5 linked regions of the Bombyx mori genome follow. The protein of the gene in region 2 binds, or shares a complex with, the protein of the main gene of each other region. Links are inferred from orthologs where the notes say so. Each region holds a gene or a part of one and is shown on either strand. Other genes may lie near its edges. The genes, in order: rapamycin-insensitive companion of mTOR, stress-activated map kinase-interacting protein 1, rptor, TOR1 and target of rapamycin complex subunit lst8.

The links.
Region 1: the proteins of stress-activated map kinase-interacting protein 1 (region 2) and rapamycin-insensitive companion of mTOR are in contact, whole or in part, in a cryo-EM structure (PDB 7PE7), measured with the Homo sapiens proteins. The link is inferred for Bombyx mori from reciprocal best matches to the Homo sapiens genes MAPKAP1 and RICTOR. Residues at the interface, in NP_001006618.1 of Homo sapiens: Ala2, Phe3, Leu4, Asp5, Asn6, Pro7, Ile9, Ile10, Leu11, Ala12, His13, Ile14, Arg15, Gln16, Ser17, His18, Thr20, Ser21, Asp22, Asp23, Thr24, Met26, Cys27, Met29, Val30, Leu31, Ile32, Asp35, Val36, Ser84; in NP_689969.2 of Homo sapiens: Arg108, Gln137, Glu140, Thr144, Leu147, Arg148, Arg151, Lys152, Thr155, Arg182, Met183, Arg185, Ala186, Ala189, Cys192, Glu193, Leu196, Leu220, Arg222, Ile223, Glu225, Ala226, Leu227, Thr229, Thr230, His233, Asn236, Arg293, Trp295, Glu844.
Region 3: stress-activated map kinase-interacting protein 1 (region 2) and rptor share a complex: the UniProt entries of both Homo sapiens proteins name them as parts of the mechanistic target of rapamycin complex. The link is inferred for Bombyx mori from reciprocal best matches to the Homo sapiens genes MAPKAP1 and RPTOR.
Region 4: stress-activated map kinase-interacting protein 1 (region 2) and TOR1 share a complex: the UniProt entries of both Homo sapiens proteins name them as parts of the mechanistic target of rapamycin complex. The link is inferred for Bombyx mori from reciprocal best matches to the Homo sapiens genes MAPKAP1 and MTOR.
Region 5: the proteins of stress-activated map kinase-interacting protein 1 (region 2) and target of rapamycin complex subunit lst8 are in contact, whole or in part, in a cryo-EM structure (PDB 7PE8), measured with the Homo sapiens proteins. The link is inferred for Bombyx mori from reciprocal best matches to the Homo sapiens genes MAPKAP1 and MLST8. Residues at the interface, in NP_001006618.1 of Homo sapiens: Lys102, Cys103, Lys104, Asn105, Ile106, Gln107, Trp108, Lys109, Arg111, Asn112, Ser113, Lys121, Leu123, Phe124, Glu125, Lys126, Lys127, Ser128, Leu129, Gly137, Lys138, Gln139, Ser140, Ile141, Leu142, Val144, Arg145, Leu146; in NP_001186102.1 of Homo sapiens: Ala29, His30, Pro77, Ile78, Ile79, Ser80, Tyr81, Asp82, Gly83, Arg98, Arg110, Ile111, Trp112, Gln120, Cys121, Gln122, Arg123, Ile124, Asn139, Gln140, Ala141, Leu157, Lys158, Ile203, Glu206, Ser279, Gly280, Asp281, Gln283, Asp322.

Annotation. Positions count from the first base shown.
Region 1 is NC_085128.1:9,702,753-9,706,267, forward strand, and holds part of rapamycin-insensitive companion of mTOR, read left to right. Parts: intron 1-782; coding exon 783-1,014; intron 1,015-1,623; coding exon 1,624-1,777; intron 1,778-2,178; coding exon 2,179-2,283; intron 2,284-2,362; coding exon 2,363-2,488; intron 2,489-2,563; coding exon 2,564-3,229; intron 3,230-3,515. UniProt on the Homo sapiens protein: Component of the mechanistic target of rapamycin complex 2 (mTORC2), which transduces signals from growth factors to pathways involved in proliferation, cytoskeletal organization, lipogenesis and anabolic output.
Region 2 is NC_085121.1:3,857,632-3,861,651, reverse strand, and holds the start of stress-activated map kinase-interacting protein 1, read left to right. Parts: upstream 1-1,213; 5' UTR 1,214-1,351; coding exon 1,352-1,683; intron 1,684-2,113; coding exon 2,114-2,500; intron 2,501-2,619; exon of another isoform or gene 2,620-2,921; coding exon 2,922-3,253; exon of another isoform or gene 3,254-3,548; coding exon 3,549-3,739; exon of another isoform or gene 3,740-4,020. UniProt on the Homo sapiens protein: Component of the mechanistic target of rapamycin complex 2 (mTORC2), which transduces signals from growth factors to pathways involved in proliferation, cytoskeletal organization, lipogenesis and anabolic output.
Region 3 is NC_085123.1:808,894-812,408, reverse strand, and holds part of rptor (regulatory-associated protein of TOR), read right to left. Parts: intron 1,568-3,515; coding exon 1,481-1,567; intron 730-1,480; coding exon 420-729; intron 1-419. UniProt on the Homo sapiens protein: Component of the mechanistic target of rapamycin complex 1 (mTORC1), an evolutionarily conserved central nutrient sensor that stimulates anabolic reactions and macromolecule biosynthesis to promote cellular biomass generation and growth.
Region 4 is NC_085109.1:10,799,550-10,803,064, forward strand, and holds part of TOR1 (target of rapamycin), read right to left. Parts: coding exon 3,485-3,515; intron 3,413-3,484; coding exon 3,253-3,412; intron 2,255-3,252; coding exon 2,039-2,254; intron 486-2,038; coding exon 114-485; intron 1-113. UniProt on the Homo sapiens protein: Serine/threonine protein kinase which is a central regulator of cellular metabolism, growth and survival in response to hormones, growth factors, nutrients, energy and stress signals.
Region 5 is NC_085114.1:11,954,843-11,959,128, forward strand, and holds the start of target of rapamycin complex subunit lst8, read right to left. Parts: upstream 2,806-4,286; 5' UTR 2,532-2,805; coding exon of another isoform or gene 2,400-2,531; 5' UTR 2,073-2,399; coding exon 1,890-2,072; intron 1,799-1,889; coding exon 1,649-1,798; intron 1,148-1,648; coding exon 1,086-1,147; intron 677-1,085; coding exon 523-676; intron 24-522; coding exon 1-23.

The sequences.
Region 1 (3,515 bases), on a different chromosome or scaffold from region 2:
GGTGTCTATGTAAAAGAAAAAAATTTTTTTAGAACCTTTCCCTTTTCATTCATAGCCAGACTATTATCACGCAGGAACCTTCGTCTTGACAAATTATCAGCTAAAGTTATTAGCGCATAACATGAATGCTAATGTTCACCGTCTTACAAATTGTGGATATCAAAAAGTAACACTGCTGGTCGAGAAGCTAAGTAATGTTCTTACTGGCGGTACTTTACTGGTGGTAGGACCTCTTGTGAGTCCGCACGGGTAGGTGCTACCACCCTGCCTATTTCTGTCGTGAAGCAGTAATGCGTTTCAGTTAGAAGGGCAGGGCTGCCGTTGTAACTATAGCGAGACCTTACAGCTTATATCTCAAGGTGGGTGGCGCATTTACGTTGTAAATGTTTATGGACTCCAGTAACCACTTAACACCAGGTGGGCAGTGAGCTCGTCCACTCATCTAAGCAATAAAAATAAAATAAAATAAAAAATGTGTGTGTTCATGTCACACACGGTAGAAGTGAAACTTATAAATAAGATATAGATATACTGACTATCCCACTACACAGAAGCATACATATGGACAATGTTTAGTATACGATAGTGGGGATGCTACGAAGAGAAAGAGAACAACAAAGCAGAGACCGAGAATGTCTAATGTGTTCTATCGCATTCTCTTGCCGGCTGAATCCTATTCATTTGTGTTTGTGTCTATGGACTTATTTTTTCGTTTCATGGAGTTTGAAAGCACAACGATCTAAAGAAGTTTCACTTCAAAAATAATAATTTATGTCTGTCAGGCGTTGTCAACCCGGAGCTGTGGGTGTGGTGTGGCGGCGCCAGTGCCGTGTCCCGCCAGCTGGCCGAATGCGCGACCCCGCGACAAGCGGAGGCGTTGTGCGGTGCTCTCCTGCACGTGTTAGACCGACCGGGCCCGCGACGTGCCGCCCGCCTCACCACAGCCTGTCTGACGCATCTAGCTGCACCGTACTGTGACTTCCACTTCCGTTCAGCGCCTACAGATTCCACCAGGTTTTTATTATAAGCTTCTTATAAAAATGGATATTAGCCGTTCACTTTCCAGACAAATCAAAACAATGGTGCAAATTAAAGCTAATAATTGTTTTTTTTTTCCTACCTAAACTGAGACTAGCCTTGAGAGGCTATTTCAGCATAACCTTAACTATTAGTGAGCTCACGGGGCTCAAACTTGACGACGTTGCTAACACAAACCCTAGCAAGAGCCGTGCTTCGCAGAATCTACCACCGGATCGGAAACGCGACCCACTGAGAAGATCGGGCGAGAAACTCAGTGGGCTGTTTGTAGGTCAAATTACTTGTAGAGCCCTTCGTCGCAACCGACGGGTATGAATAATTTAAAGTTTTCTTTGGAAAATAAAATCTCTTAGTCTAGTCTCTTAACTAATGCAACCTAAAAAAATAATCGCAGTATTTTTTTTTAAATCCTTTAGTAAAGAATAATTAAAGCAATAGCTAAAAAAATCAATTACTGACTGTGGATGATATAGCTAGGAATAATAGGATAGGCCATGTTGTAAATCACTGGGTATTTAGCATCAGTGTTCGGCTCAAACATAGTTGGCACTACAATTGAAACCTAAAATACTTATTTCTTTATAGGGATGAGAGAGAGATGCGGTTCACCTGCAGTAGATTGGCGTTGCTATGCGTTTTAAGGAGTTGGCCAGGGTTGTTACATTTTTGTCACCCATCGAGTGCTGGGGGATTACGATCACTTGTTGCTGCTCTATATTTACCTCGTCTTGAAGTTCGGGTAAGTGCCAGTTTTAATTGTAAATCAAATTAATTGCTTAATGATTTTGAAATGGTCGTGGCTTAAAGGATAAGTCGATTGATGCACTCAGATGGAACGATACTACTATGTCGGTGTTCTAATACCGCATACAGGTGTCAATTTTTTAACATATGTTCATGTTCGTTGTGAACCCGCATGGGTAGTGTATTTCTGCCTGTTATGATGTCTTCGTGTTGCGGTAACCATTTGACATCATGTGGGCCGTGAGCTCATTCACTAGTCTATGCAATATAATATATTATGTATTTATGGTAAACCATAAAAATGGTTTAAGTACACAGTTGATTGGTTTTGAATAAGGGAATTAATTGTATGGTTCATAGTTAACATTTATTGTTTGTATGTGTGTTATATTACAGAAAGCAATATTGGATTTGCTATACGAATTAGTAGGGCTACCACAACCTGAATGGACAGATGAGATCTCAGTCGCGCTGGACGCTGTGGACCCTTCAGACTTTCAGGTTAATTTTAACATAATGCTGTTGGTTTTATCAAAGTTTCATCTAACTTACACGAAATTTATATTTGTAATGTCTCTAGGATACGTGGCGGCTTAACGAAGGATTTGTTGCCGCGGAAGGCATCGCAATACTACCTCATCTCGCAGCTACGGGACCCGATATTACGGAAAACCACTTAGCTCTATTACTTCAATGTTTCCTAGAGGTACAACCCTATTCGCGTTATACAATTTTTTTTTTAATGTTTACAGCAGTATTATAGTATACAATTAAATTCTAGGTCGGTCTACTGGACGGGTTAGCTGAAGTGATCGTGACGAGCGACACTTTTATATCGGTGCGCGCTACGGTTCTACTCGGCCAGCTGCTGCATTTAGTACACTTGTTCCTGCCTCCTCCGATATGTAACATCACGCCCGCCTTACCCGTCCTAATGTCTCAGGCGTCTAACGGAAAGCCTCAAGCCCTGGCAGCGGTGGCCGCCTTGCGGAAACTGCACGCGATGCTCGAAGCGAGACCCGCCAGCAGCAGCCTTTTCCTCGACCACATCATTCAGTACTGCAGCGGAGCGTTCAAGGAAAAGAACGAAGACGCCGCCAAGAGTCGGAAAGAGAAGGACAACGCCAACATAAGACCGAGACAGGAGATCGGCATTCACAAAAACGACAGCATAGAACTGCTGAACGAATCGGACAACGAGAACGAAACGAAACAAAGGCACAGCGTCGGCTCCCGAAATGACGTCACCAACAGAAACATCAGTGCGCTCGTTAAAAGTAAAAGCGTAACTTCGCGAACTAGCGCCGCCGTGAGCAAGGTCGCCAAGTCGGCCAAGTTTTTCAATTTGTTCGAGCGAGACAGCGACAGTTTGATCCGGTCCACCTTGGTCATGCAGAACAAAGACGGAAATACTTGGAATTGGGAAATCATAAGAACTATTTTAAAGGTAACGCTCGAAGTTTTTGAAGTGAAACTTCTTTAGGCGCGTTGAGAGTATAATTTAACTCGCGACAGTTTCGTTTAGGAATAGCCAGAGTAAGAAAATAGACAGCGTTTGGCGAACCACTCAACCGTGGAGAGAGGGAAATAAAAAAGCGAGCTAGGTCGTTTCTCTTGTACATAGCATTTCTCTTACAGGCGAATTTTTGTTAAAGGATGAAAAATGAAGAAAAGCACATTACTATTGTACATTCCGCAAAAGAAGTTTCACTTCTTTCACGCGCACCATTTTT
Region 2 (4,020 bases):
TGAGGCTTCATATTTCACATCTCTTTTTTAAGCATAATACATATTATTCCTATTCAATCACAACATCCCTTTCAAACAGCTCGTAACTACTTATTGTTTATGCTACCAGTACTACTTCTGGTACTATCTCATGGTGAGCAACAGCATCTACAGTGTGGTGTATATTTGTTATTATATATTTTACATAATATTATTTAAAAGTTAATAAAACAGATTAATATGTTGTAATTGCACATAATCTTCAGAATTTTTCATCGAATATTACACGACACACTCATCTAGTACTACATGCGGAAGAAACGATTTGAATGGTACCTATATTCTTTAATTGGGTTGAAACGTTGACCCATATTAAATATCGTAAAATCTATCCATTAATGACTCAAATTTTATAGAATTGTTGCAATTTGGACAGCTTAAAGCCTATGTAGTTAGGTCACAACATATACAAATAATTTACTTACCACAATTTGTCTACCTAAATAAAATGTTTTAGTTATTATAATTCAATTTGCCGTAAATGTGCACAAATTTAACCAAAATTAATATTTAATAATCCTATATTTAAATCCAGATAAATGTAACTCGTTAATAAAGTTTATTGAATGAATGTGTTTAAAATAAAGAGCTTTTTTCTGTTGTTGTTTTTAATGTTTTTATTACATAGGTCATAGATTATACACTTATGACATAGGTACCTAGTAGGTAGGTGTTGTTTCATTTGTGCAGATAAATAGGCAAAGAAATACAAAAATAGACAGACAATATTTTGGAAGAAAACAGGTGACCAAACATTGCGGCGAAGGTTATTCTGACTAACCGAAATGCATTACTGCTTCACCGCAGAAGCAGGCAGGGTGCTAGTGCCAGCCCGCGTGAACTCACAAGACACTACCTAGATTAGAAAATTTTGCAGTAGGCAACGACTTGGCTGTATCTTTATTATTCCATATCGAATAGTAAACGTTCGTCAGCGTCAATAACCACTAACCATCGGAAGGGCAGTATGCACGTCTGCCTACAACATCAACAAAAAATAATGATAAAGTACTTCTATAAAGTATTTTATATAATAAAAATAAATTAAATAAAAAAATGATAGTGAGAGTGACATATTAATTTACATTAGAGTGGGCAAAGCAAAAAGTCATTTATGTCCATATTATGCTACATGGCCTGTAAGGTCTTGTAGCCCTTGACCGAAAATGAAATGAAAAAAATCTGTTTAAATCAAAATTCAAAACATCAAACATAACACTTCAAAATTTTGCAAAACATGTTTTGGCCGTGGCGCATGATGCGTTATTATTATATATTTCATTAAGAGGATATGAATCTTATTTAAGAAAAAATGGCCACATACGACAACAAAATTTGGCTGTTGAAAAACATTAGAGATGCCTTCATAGCTACTGACGACACAGGCCTATGTGAAATTGTTATGGCAGGTGAAGATTTTTCTAAGATCTTCCAGATTAAGGGTTTAGAAGAAAAAAAAAGAATAAAAGAAGCTCGAGCGCTTCAGCCTGGAACTAGTAAAATAAGGGAAGGTGGAGACTCTTGTGAAGATTTCGAAAGAGAAATTATCACTCAATTTGAACCATATCCTGATATTGATGAAAGTGAAGATGAAGATCCCTTAGGTAGTAGCTATGTTCGATATGAAGAGTTTGGAGGTTACAGGTACGTCCAACATTAAGAACTGTATAGTTGAGATTTATTTTATTTTATTGTATAATGTTGTCTTGCAGGTTTCAAATGTCGTTCATCTAATTCATTAAAACGACGAAGCTCAAATCAGATTCAATTATAAAAGTCTGTCTATTAATCATAAGATACTATTTTCCTTTTTTTTCTCTTGTTTCTTAATTGTTGTCATAGCTACCTGCTAGTAGAGAACAAACCACGATCTCGATACAATCAAGACTTCAATTGTGTTTCACCAGTCAGGTGGACAGTGGGAAAATTAAAACTATATTTTTTGTTAAATTTATTTAAAATTAAAATTTTTACATTACTTTTTTTTACACACAATTTTTACATACAAAACATTAAAAAAGAAAGCTAAAACCATCCATGTCTGAAAATTTCACCAAAAAAATGTATGTTCTAGGCAGAGATCAAACACATCACAATGGTTAGACAAAAAGGAGCAGGCATTAAAAAAGGCAGCCAAAATTAAAGTAATTAAGTGGGAAGATTCATCACCACTGAGCAAGGAGCAATGTATGGAGTTATTCCCTACAGTCGAAGTTAAACCTCCAGAAAAACAAAAGTCATTATTGGCTCAGCAGCTAGAGAACTGCCCAGATCTACCTCATCGTCAGTATCTGGAGTATGGAAAGTTTGATGGCACAGCACAACTAGGATTACAAACAAAATGCTTTAAGATCTTTATGACGATGCTCTCGGAAAAACATCAAAATTATCCATTAGTTGTGTGTGTGATTGCTAGTGCCAAGATCAAAGATTTGATTGGTTTTACATGCTATAAATACAGGTGATGTTGCAAATAATTTCTAATTTTTCTTTATGTGTAGGGTGAATGAGCTTTCGGTCATTGTGTGGTTGTATATTGTTACGGTCTGGGGTTCAGGATAAATAAAAGCTCCACCAAAGTACAACTTAAAACTGTATTTAACACTTAGAACATTCTCAGAACACTTTACAACTCGTAATTCACTTTTTTCATTGCCAGCTATGTGTTTCCGCTATTTGATAATTGATAGCATTGTACTTCTTGGGTGTTCTCGATTTTACAAGTTCTTTTGATATTCGTTGCTTCTATTGGACAACAGATGGCGTTGCTCTTACCGGCGTAACAATATGAATGACACCAGCCTACGTGATATATGAGCATTAGCTATCCTTCATACCAGGACACATGACTTACACTTTTTAATGTTTATTTTTCATTACAGCATTGAACATCCTGAAATTAGTCTTGGCTCTGTGCATGAATATGGACTTTGTATAGCGGAAGATGATGGAGAAGTTGACTGGGCGTTCCCATGCCTCGATGCCAACGAACCATGCTCAAAGTTTGGCTTCACATGTTTAGGACTTATTGAGTTAAAAAACAAGAAATCATTTAACAGTCCTCCAATCCCAATGCCCGATGACGGTCATGTGTTTCATTTATTTCCCAAAATGACCGACTCTGGACAAAGTCACAATAATCCATCTAGACACAATACAGGTGGAAGTCAAACTTCAGAAGCTGTTATAAGTGCATTAAGGGCTGTTAATGAAGGTTAGCATATTGTTCTTTTATTTTGTTAAAATTGATTAATCTTTCAATAAACTTCTTACAGTTACAGAAAAAACTACAGTTTGATAGATAAGACCATACATAAACTTTAAAAAGTTAAGTATGATTACTTTTTTTTTATTACTTAAATGGTTGAACGAGCTCACAGCCCACCTAGTGTTAAGTGGTTACTGAAGCCCATAGACATCTACAACGTAAATGCGCCACCCACCTTGAGATATAAGTTCGTAGGTCTCAGTATAGTTATTAAGTAAAATGAATGGAACTAAATTTTCAGAGAAAAAAAGCAGTGAAGATGCAAACCTAGAAAAGATTCAGTGTCATATAATGGCCACAGAAGCACCACAGTATAAATCATATAAAGTGCAATTATTAAGGAAAGTACGAACTAACACTTCTGTACAACTTGGCATCTCATTAGATAGAATAGAAATTGAACCTTTAGTTACTCATAAACATGTATTTTGGGTAAGTAGCAGCTATGATACTTGAGTATATTTCTTTGTTTTGATGAGCCATAAACTTAATAGAAAGTATACTATTGCAACTGTAAAAACTAAAGGGTTTAATTAAAGGAATGTAGGATGAAACCAAAATTGCCATTGATGGTATTGAGGCGGGTAGCCATCATACAACGCAAGATAATTGACAGATGCCTGAATCTCGCTTACGACATTTTCAAGATAAGCTTGCATATATATATATATTTTTTTTTTTTATTGCCCTTTTATGCTGGCGAGCATACGGCC
Region 3 (3,515 bases), on a different chromosome or scaffold from region 2:
GGACGAGCTTACAGTCCACCTGGTGTTAAGTGGTTACTGGAGTCCATAGACATCTGCAATGTAAATGCACCACCCAACTTGAGATATAAGTTCTAAAGTATCAGTAAAGTTACAATGACTGCCCCGCACTTTAAACCGAAAATTGTTTCTGCTTCACGACAGAAATAGGTAAAGTGGTGGTACCTACCCGTGCGGACTCACAAGAGGTCCTAGCACCAGTAATTACTCAAATTATAATTTTGCCTATACTCTGCACAAAGTCGAGCGCGTTTCAAGCGGTTGCGCCTGCCGGTAGATGTCAATATAGATAAGTAAATCGAAACTACATTCAGCTCCCTACACGTGCGTGAGTAACTCAATAAGGGACGAGTGTTGTTGAGGCGACAATATACGATGCCTATACACACAAGAGTACGTACCAGCCGGTGACGAGCAGGTCGGCGCGCAGCGAGTGCGCGGCGGCCAGCACGGGCGCGGCGTGGCGGCGCAGGTCGTGCGTGGGCGCCAGGGTGCGCTGGTCCCACAGCCGCACGGCGCCGTCCTGGAAGCCGGCGGCCAGCACGTCGGGGCGCGCGGCCCCCAGCGCGGTGAGGGCGGCGTCCCCGGGCGCGGCCAGGTCGCCCACCCGCAGCTCGCGCCGCGCGTCCCACAGCCGCACGCCGCGCGCGCGCCCGCCCGCCGCCACCCAGCGCCGCGCCGCCACCCAGCGTACCACCGTGCCGCCGCCCACTGCGCACACGTACCCCCCAACACATTGTAATTGAGTGTAGGAAATGAACACCTTTTAAATTGAGTCCTACAGTTCATTTATCTATTAAATCAGTTCTAAAAGATGTTGAACGTGACAACGTCATAAGAAAATACTGATGGAATGGTTTCATTTTTCAATTCTCGCAATTATCGTTGCTATAAACAATTGACACCACATTCACTTTTCACTGAACTTCATACTTGACGACAACATGTAAATGTATTATTGTATAGCAGCTGTCCACACGGATGCATCGCTCACTCAAGTAGGAGAGAGACAGATGTCGAACGCTGCCGAACGCGGAGGCCGATTGTGCCTCTTTGTCGCTCGTTGCGCGCTCTCGTTTGCACTTCAAGCCTTAAATGGAACGCCTCAGAGCGAGGTAACGCCGCATGAGTCATGTTTTTTCGTGCGGGCAGCCGGCTCCATCGAATTATAAGACGTTGTCACGTCAAAACCATTTTTTTTTTTAAAAATAATTCTCATTAGAATTTAGAAATATATATCTTTAACAAATAAAAATTATAGATCAACAAATGAGACCATTACTTTTATTAACTAGACGTGAATTAGCGCCTGACGAAAGGGTTCGATCGGACTCGCTCATTGGACCGTAGGATCACCCTTTCTATAGAGCAAATGTGCCATTAATACATCCGCTGTTCCTCAAATTAATATTTAAAATATTGACTGTTGATATAGAGATGAGTTGATTAAAGTGCCACTTACAGTTGGGGTCGGCCTGTTGCTTGTTTTTGTTCGTCGCTAGTTTGTCTTCGTTCGAGGAGAACTGATCAGAGACCAGTTGAGCTATACCTGGGATAGATTGTGATTACATTGCATTTGTAACGAAAAGATTGCTGCGGCGGTAAAGTTACTGCGAACAAATCACGCCCGGTCATACGGTCACAGATTAGGATTCCCTTTGGTCAGGATTTTTTTTTAAGAGATTTTATGACCTGGTAACTGAGACCTTGAAGTCATGTCTTATTTTCATTTATATTATTCATATTTTTATGAAAAATGATATTATGGAGTGAAATAAAATGAAGATAATTAATTTGAGACACTAATCAACTGGGATGAAATTAAATGAAATGAATTGAGATGAAATATAATCTCAGTAAAATGGTGGTCATTTACTAAGATTTTTTCAGTGGACTTTTTAGAGGATCCCGAGGAGTTACGTCCAGCGGCTTTGTTTCATTTTCCCACATTTGTGCACTTTCACAGATATTAAACAGTTAATAAACTACCATTATTACACATTTAAACCCGAGGAAACACTAAATAGACAAATTATTTTGTCACAACAAATCACACAACTTCACTCCTCGCGTTCCCGCCAAAAAGTCCCTTTGGTCAGCGTATCAGAGACTGACATAGATTATATATCGTGCCTTTAAATATATATAATAATATGGAGTAGGTATAGTAAGCGGCACGTAAGTTGGCAAGGTTTTGGTGTAGTGGGGGTAATGTCGCGCATAGTGCACATTGCAACAAAAAAATGGTCATTTTTATTGCCCGCATATAATTTAATTTAATTTTATTTTATTGTTTATTTGCCATAACTTATTTTTAAGCCTGTGTGTTTTGAAGAACGTTAAAGAAAAGAGAGGAATTCGTGAAGTGTATTAGGTGTTATAAATAAAATACAATTAAAAGTTACTATATAATTAAATTTTAATTGTTAGTAATATACTTAATATTAAAAATTATGTGTCGCCGTCGTCACTATCATTTTCTAATATTGCTACCCCTTGGATTAAATTTATTGTAGCACCTGAGCTGGTGGAAGGAGTTGGCTCCTCATCGTCGACATAACGAAGAGTCGCTGTCGTCACTGGCGTAAATAATAAAACGCTCAGTGACTGAATCTACTATATGGTAATTGGTATTTGGTCCTGGCATTGCAAACAAATTTAAAACAATAACACTCGTAACAAAAACTAAATTTAAACAATAATAACAACTCCAAACAAAAAAAAATATATAAAAAAAGGGTATCCTACAACTTAGTAGGCAAATGTGTAGCCGGGAGCGAACGGAACGCGGACGCGGTGCGGGAGGGGAGGGTCGACTGACGCACCAATCGCGCGCTCGGAACGGTGCTACGTCTTTCCCCGCGTCCCGCTTGACAACCAAAGAGACCTAAAAAATGACTTCTGCGCATCTAACGACTCTTGCCAAGTTACGTGCCGGGGACTATACTTCAGGATGAATAAACAATAAAATACTTAATTGTGTTCTCTGTAATATAATAAGAAAAGAACATTTAAAGCCCTTAATCTCTTTTAAATTTAATAACCAAAATTAAACTGTATTAATGAACTATCCAAACTGAGCTCTCTTTTTATTGAATAACTGACTTCACTACATGAAACTGAAGAAAAACCCTTTTTAAAACCTAAGGAGTTTTAAATAATAAAGGTTTTCGGCTTAATTAGCTACTACGTCACTGAGTCAGTTAATAAGCGCTTTTTTTTTACTGGTTACTGGAGCCCATAGATATCTACAACGTAAATGCGCCTACACATCTTAAGATATAAGTTCTAGTCTTAGTATAGTTACAACGGCTGCCCCAACTCACTTACAAATTACAATACCCCACAATACACTACCCCAAATTACGATACTGCATTTGGCCCCAAATGACGTTACAGGTAAATAAGTTGCGTTTTGTAGTATACGGGACAATGTTGAATGTACTGTGTCCCAGGCGCTAGATTCGTTCTAATACTATACTATGAGTAGTTCTTGT
Region 4 (3,515 bases), on a different chromosome or scaffold from region 2:
CGCACTGTGGATGAACGCAGTGGCTCCAGGTAGTACGGATGAACTCTACTCCGGTGGCGGGCGGTTCGATGGTATCGTTTCGAACAATTCCTCAGAGCACTCCCGAACCTCACCTTATGCTTCAGCATCAACTTCTGGTAATCCGAGGCCATCCTCAACATGATCTGCTGTTCCGTGTTCAGCGCCGTTTTGTTCGTCTTTTTATCGCGAAATTCGCTGATTAGATTGTAGAGAGTGTCGCAGTGCGGGACCCAGCCGATGAGTCCGGAGTTGGGGGAGAGCGGTATGACCGCGTATCTCTGTATGGCGAGGTCGTGTCGGTACGTGTCGGCGTCGGCCCGCAGCAGAGCGTTGACCAATCCGAAGAGCTGCATCACGCGCTCGTCCTGCCGCAGGTCCTCGTGGCCCTTCAGCAGGAACATGTACTGTTTGCCGTCAGAGCCCTGTATGGTCAGACGTCTCGGACGCTGCTTCGACTTGATTACCTGACACAAAAGAATAAGGTTCAAGCAAATTTTAATACGCTTTTATTACCTTCAGACGTGTGTATGTTTGTAACGGAATCTTTGAACATGATTTTGACCCCCTTCAAAACGTCCGATTAACTCGAAATTTGGTATACTTAATAAAAAAATTGAAAAAATTGAAATTCAGCTAAAAAATTAAAAATAAATAATAATTTAAAAAAAAACCAACAAAATACGCTTTTATAGATAATCCAACTAAAAAATAGAAAATAAACTTGAATAAAAAATAGTGTAGAAAAAAATGATTTTATTGTATTATAAAAAAAGGGTATATTTAAAAACACATTTAGTTTGACTTTCGTAAGTTCAAGAACACGGAAACTACCAAGTCTTTGAAACGTAGGAAATGTTTTTTTATTTATTGCTTAGATGGACGTGTGTGAGGCTTAAACAACGAAAGGAAGATCTTCCACCAAGCAGGTGATATTGTTCGGTAGACCGACGGTCCAAATGTTGTTGTTCGGAACTTGTATATTATTATATTCAAGCTTCTTGTCGTAAGCGAGATTCAGGCATCGGTCAAATATCTTGTATTGTATGATGGCTACCCGCCACAGACGGATGGATGAGCTCACAGCCCACCTGGCGTTAAGTGGTTACTGGAGCCCATAGACGTCTACAATGTAAATGCAAACACCCACCATGAGATAAGAGTTCAAAGGTCTCAGTATAGTTACAACGGCTGCCCCACCCTTCAAACCGAAACGCATTACTGCTTCACGGCAGAAATAGGCAGGGTGGTGGTTGGTACCGAGTAGGTACTCGTGTGAGCTCCCGTGATATAACAATATAGAAGTAAGATCAAATAGACAATAAAATATTTATTATAAAAAAAAAGAACACAATTCCTAACCTAAAAGTACATGTTATTATCCATAATATCAAATTATGTTCTGATAATTATTACCTGTCATTGCTAATTGAATATTAATTTGTCAATCACAAAATTGTGCAATCGAATCTGAATATGAAGAGAATTTAAAATGCTATAACGCCCTAATTAAGTTATCACAATTCAATAGAACGTCAAAGCTTAAAGCTCTTCTAAAATTACTATTTAGTTGATGGTTAACGATACATATATTTACGCAAAATCTTAATCAAAAAATTTTTAAAATTCGAAATTCTTGCAAAGTAACTTAGAGAGAGAGAGAGAATACTCTTTATTGCACACCAAAACACAATTTACATTAAAAAAGCAGATACATTTGTACAATAGGCGGTCTTATCGCTAAAAGCGATCTCTTGCAGACAACCGTTTAATTTACAGAAATTCTGGAAAATATAAAAATATAGCAGGTATGTTGCGGTGTACCATAGACAATATATACATACAATTAACAGATATATACCGTTTACATAATATGTATTATATTATAATATAATATATACCAATATACATACTTAGACAATCTGAAATGAAAAACTAACTCACTTTTCGCCTGCGCTATAGTTTTTTAGGCGAAACGGCTATCAGTGTTGATGATACTAATTCGCAACTAAATTCGTACCTGCAAATTGCTGTGTATGTACGAGATGTTAATTATTTTCTGATTAGGCACGTACGAGCCCGGGACGGCCAGCTCCAGGTCCTTGCACGAATGCAAACGTTTGCTGACGTACTGCAGCTCCAGTGACGTCAGCGACCGGAACTGGGCTTGGATGCGCCGCACCACGTGGTAGTACAGATCCCACGCTTCGTTCAGGTACCTCTCTTCGTTGCTCTCCTGTATTAATAAATAATACTTAATATATAAACTCAATGTTGAAAAAAAAATGGCGGATAGAAAGCGATTGCATGCAGCAGAGATGCTAATGTTGCGATGCATGTTTTTTTTTTATGATTGAAGTATTACTGGTGGCCCGGAGGCCGTTCCAGTTTCGCCAGGACAGGTGGGCGACCAAAGGCTCAGCCAGAAGGGGTGGCATTTGCTAACAGCCACCCGAGCGCCTCCGAAGGAGACCTAGGAACTCAAGAGCAATTGCTTCGCGAATGAATCTACTACCGGATCGGAATCGCGACCCGCTGAGAAGATCCGGCGAGAAACTCAGCGGGCTGATGCATGGGTTAGGTTGCACGTCGACCTCTTTGTCGAGTTCGGCGAGTACGGTTACCGGGGTTCCTCAGCCTGCTCTTAGTGTTAGAGCTGAAGGTACCTAATGCAAGAGTTATTGGATCTGACGTGTCTAGGGCGACGACGGTGACTTGCTCCTGCGTGATTAGGATTCGGGGAGCGAGGGATGTGTAGTAACGAGAATGGATAGAATACAGAATGAATATATTAGAGGAAGTCTGAAAGTGGCCCCTGTGACAGAGAAGTTGAAAAGTGCGCGTTTGGGATGGGTATGGACATGTGATGAGAGAGTGTTAACTATGAATGTGGAAGGATATAGAGGAAGAGGTAGACCTAAGAAGAAATGGATGATCCATTTTTTCTCACATATATGTGTAAGAGGGGAGCGAGCGAAGAAATGGTATATGATAGAAGAGTATGGAAGGAGAAAACATGTTACGTCGACCCCAGGTGACTGGGAGAATGGTAGACAAATGATGATGATGATATCAACTTGAATCTTTCAAGTACTTTTCATCATTGAAGGATTACTGGTGGCCCCGATGCTTTTCCAGTTACACCAGAGAGAGAGGTAGCAAAGATATTGGTTAAATAATACATTATAATGTTTAAACCAGGGTTATGAGACCTTATGCCTGTAACAAGTTTACCTTGTATAACTCGCACCAGCGCCGCGCCTCCTGTAGATCGCGTCCATACATCTGCAGGAATGAGACTTCCTTCAACGTCTCCGGAGGGGTATCCAGCATTGCGTGCATTTTGTCCAAAGTTTTAAACATTCTCTTATAATCTTTCTCGCTGAAACAAAACCTGAAATCATCGCCGGAGATTAGTTGTTCAATATTTGGTATATTTATCTAAAATTATCTGTACCCAACAAACCTTGACGCTTCATCGAGTGCTATGTAAACTT
Region 5 (4,286 bases), on a different chromosome or scaffold from region 2:
ATCGACGCCTCCGCTTCTGGTATCTAACAAAAATAAGGATAAATAGTATAATATTTATGTGTAACATGTAAATGAAATAAACATGGTTTATTTAAATTGAATTATGTGGTTGGACAGGCACTTGGCTAATGATTGATCAATTACTAGAGCTTATCAATAAAACATAAATGCTCAAAACTGATGATTGTTTCGTGGAAAAAAAAAGGTAGGATGGTGGTCCATACACAAGTGGGTTTATAATACATCCAACCATCAATCAACCTATTAAGGACAGCAGAAATATGTTATAATATACAGAAAATACTACTGGCCATTCTCTAGTAAATACCTCAGTAGCCTTTCTATATATCCATTATGAGCATATTGGTGATATCATGTTGGCATCAGCTTTTTATGCAGGAACACTACTGAATAGGATGCGGAGATAGAGTGTTCCTTTCACTTTTGTAGCTCACCACAACATACTGTATTATAGCTTCTCAGCTGATAGTGGATGTAAAAAAATATATATAGTAAAGTTACCAGTTGTTCATTTTGATCCGTTTTCAGATCCCATATATGTATAATGCCACTCTGGTCTCCAACCATTATCTGGGACTGATCAGGATGAAGCATTACTGCATTCACCGGAGCTTGAACTTGGAATATCTTTTGACACCTTGTACGTGGTGCAGCCCTACATGAGAAACATGCCGCTTTAAAATTTCTATACTAAGCTTTCTAGGTCCAGTCAGTAAATTGTGTTTTTAAACTCAATAAAAGTTAAAGTTTAATTTCAGAGATCAGCAGACAACCTCATGGTCTCCTAGTGTAAATAGTTATTAGCTTCTATGATCTAAATTTTGATTTTATTCCATAACCATTAGCATTACACTTGACAGCTTTAAAGCAGGAATCATATCTTCATACCACCAGTAAATATCAGTTGGTGAATCTTTTATAATAAGCACGAATATAACGAATGATATAAGGTGCTGCATTGTCATCTAGCATCAGAGAAACCTCCAAACATCATTTGGCCAAGGTTAGAAAACACAAATGATGTTACCTAATAACTGGTTGATATAATACATAGCGTCTTTAACCTGGGATCCCATATCCTGGCTGTGCAGTCCTCACCTCCTGTGTACATCCAAGTGCCATTTTTCTGCAAAGTTACAATTTAAAAAAAAAAAAAATTAATGACTTGTCTTATTGTAATAGATGTGTTCACAAATTAAATATCCAATCATAAATATACATAGTTTTTTTTTTTTCTAAAAGATAACAATCTTGAAAAGTTGTTTGAAAATGAATAACTGATTTTAACATCAGTTTTTGTTTAAAAACTGCATGTCGACACAATTTGTGTGTTTTTCAAATTGTTGCCCTAGAAATAATTATAATCTCAAAGATTTATAGTAATTCCTATGCCAGTGAGATCTCAAATATTTAAAGGACACTGAAGATCCAGTTTCAACTGAATGAGTTTTGAACTGAGAAAAGAAATATATTTTTTTTTCTATTCCTGGCAAATATTTAGAGACATATATTAAAGACACGTACTTCCTGTAGTTTACTGTCAGTGACACCTAGGTCACAAATAATCTACCTGAAGGTCATGTATATATTGTTTTCAACAAATTTTAATTGAATTTATGCATAATACCTGAAACCCAACTCGAGATACGTTTTTGGAGATGTCCTCAAAAGTTGTGACCGGGTCTGGATTGGCACTACTAAGATCATATAACCGTATATGCTGAAATCCAGCTGCTGCTACCATCGATGTTGGTGAGATCTCCAAGCTGTTCACTTGCTGAAAGGAAAACTCGTCATGCAATAAGCTTTAGCTGATTTTCATAATATAATCAGTTTGTAAAAATATCACGAAAGTTAATTTAAGTTACCTCACAAAAGATGACTGGCATGTTAATCTGAATTATATTTGTACAAAGTGGTCTGCTTGTATTAAATCTTAGCTCACAATTATCTGACACTGTCGTGACCAGTTTTAATCGTTTAGGTAATTCTCTTTTTTTGGACATTTTTGCAACTTTACAGGAGAGCCATTTAAAGTTTAAAATTCTCATAATAAAAAAAGTCCATCAGCTATTTGGATGCAGTAAGCTTAATTGATGTTCAATCAAAAACATTGAATTGGTGATAGTTAATACCAAATAAAATGGACCTTTAATTACAAAGATAAATGTCGCGTATTAATCGAAATATCGCTTAATTCAAATAGCCTTTCAGCCCTCGTTATTATTCAAAGCGAAATTTCCAAATCAATTTTTTATGAAAATTTAAAATAATCATGCAAATTTACGGAGCGATTTGAATGAGTTATCTGGAAATGAATTGAGTCATTTTGGTCATTTATAGAAGATCAATAACCGAAACATTAAAATATGAAGTACCGAATCTGGATGCTGCATTGTTCGTAAACAAACACCACTGTGTGCCTGCCATAGCTTGATAGTATGATCGTAGCCTCCTGTTACTAAAGCCACCTGCGATCCTCCAAGAGAAGCAGTGGTATCACCAGCCATTTTATGAAACTTATTGTTTAAGCAATTGGCATATTTATTTCTTAAAAGCACATTTTTTTATTTCCAACTGCCAGGTAATTTTGAAATTTCGGATTTTAATTTTTAATTTCGAACTTTCCGAGCAACATAAATCTTGTATGATGTGATATAATCTACGTTATACTTGAACCGAATTATCGGGGCGCTTTTAATATTACTGTAAATTCTAACTAATGCATCTCATAAAGTCAAAACATAACCAAAACAACACAGCACAGGTAATTCAAAGTTGAATGAAGTTAGCCACTCAAAAAAATTTTTTTTTCCTATTTTATACTTATTTTCTATTAATTCGTTTGTTCATCATTTGTTCATGATTGTTCACTGTTAATAATTGTTTGTTCTGCATTTATTTATTTAAAAAAAATATTTAAAAATATACCTACAAGTTAGCCCCTCTAATGCAATTTTTTATATTTTTTCATCCTTAATGACTCGTAAATATTCATTTTCGATTGTTCTTATATAAAACACGTTTGTCCTCTTTCGAAATTACTCGTTTTTTGTTTAATTTACTATTTTTATTAGTTGAATAAATGTATGCAAAATATGTGTACTGCGCATGCGTCAACTATAATGCCTAAACTTTCCACGCGGTTTTAATCGTAAAAAAAAAACAAATATAAATCCTGAAGGAGCAATTAATTGGTATACAGTTTAATTAAAAAAATTAAAAAATAAATAAATGAAATAATGTGCATTGGCGTTAAGTTAGACCAAATACATTTTTTCCATCCTCTTACCTATCGTATTAAAATGTTATTTTACTAATGTTAGGAATATAATTTCGACTGTGTAAAAAAGTTATTATAATGTATACCTATATTATCTCTTGAAAGATAAATAATGAACATATTTACTTATTTGTTTATATTACCTATGTGAACTCCCTATCTTTTTTATACCTTCATAACGATAAGTAGGAGGATGGAAAAAATGTATTTGGTCTAACTTAACGCCAATACACATTATTTCATTTATTTCTTTTTTAATTTTTTTAATTAAACTGTATACCAATTAATTGCTCCTTCAGGATTTATATTTGTTTTTTTTTCACGATTAAAACCGCGTAGAAAGTTTAGGCATTATAGTTGACGCATGCGCAGTACACATATTTTGCATACATTTATTCAACTAATAAAAATAGTAAATTAAACAAAAAACGAGTAATTTCGAAAGAGGACAAACGTGTTTTATATAAGAACAATCGAAAATGAATATTTACGAGTCATTAAGGATGAAAAAATATAAAAAATTGCATTAGAGGGGCTAACTGGTAGGTATATTTTTAAATATTTTTTTTTAAATAAATAAATGCAGAACAAACAATTATTAACAGTGAACAATCATGAACAAATGAATTAATAGAAAATAAGTATAAAATAGGAAAAAAAAATTTTTTGAGGGGCTAACTTCATTCACCTGACTTGAATCACATTTTCTTTGGATGCCTCCTACGTGACTGTTCCTCATTCATAAATTCCCTGATAAACCTCCGAGTTCCTCTTCCCACATCAATCCCTACATTATTAATAATATTAAAATGTAAACAGTTTTAAAATATAATATTCTTTTTATTTATACCCAATCACTATATATTATGAACTCTTAGGCATTATTATATATTATTATCCTATTACGTACATATCCTTTCCAAATTTCGAACCTTCCAATTGATTCCTAAATAAAACTGGTTTCCCTACCTTTTCCACACTA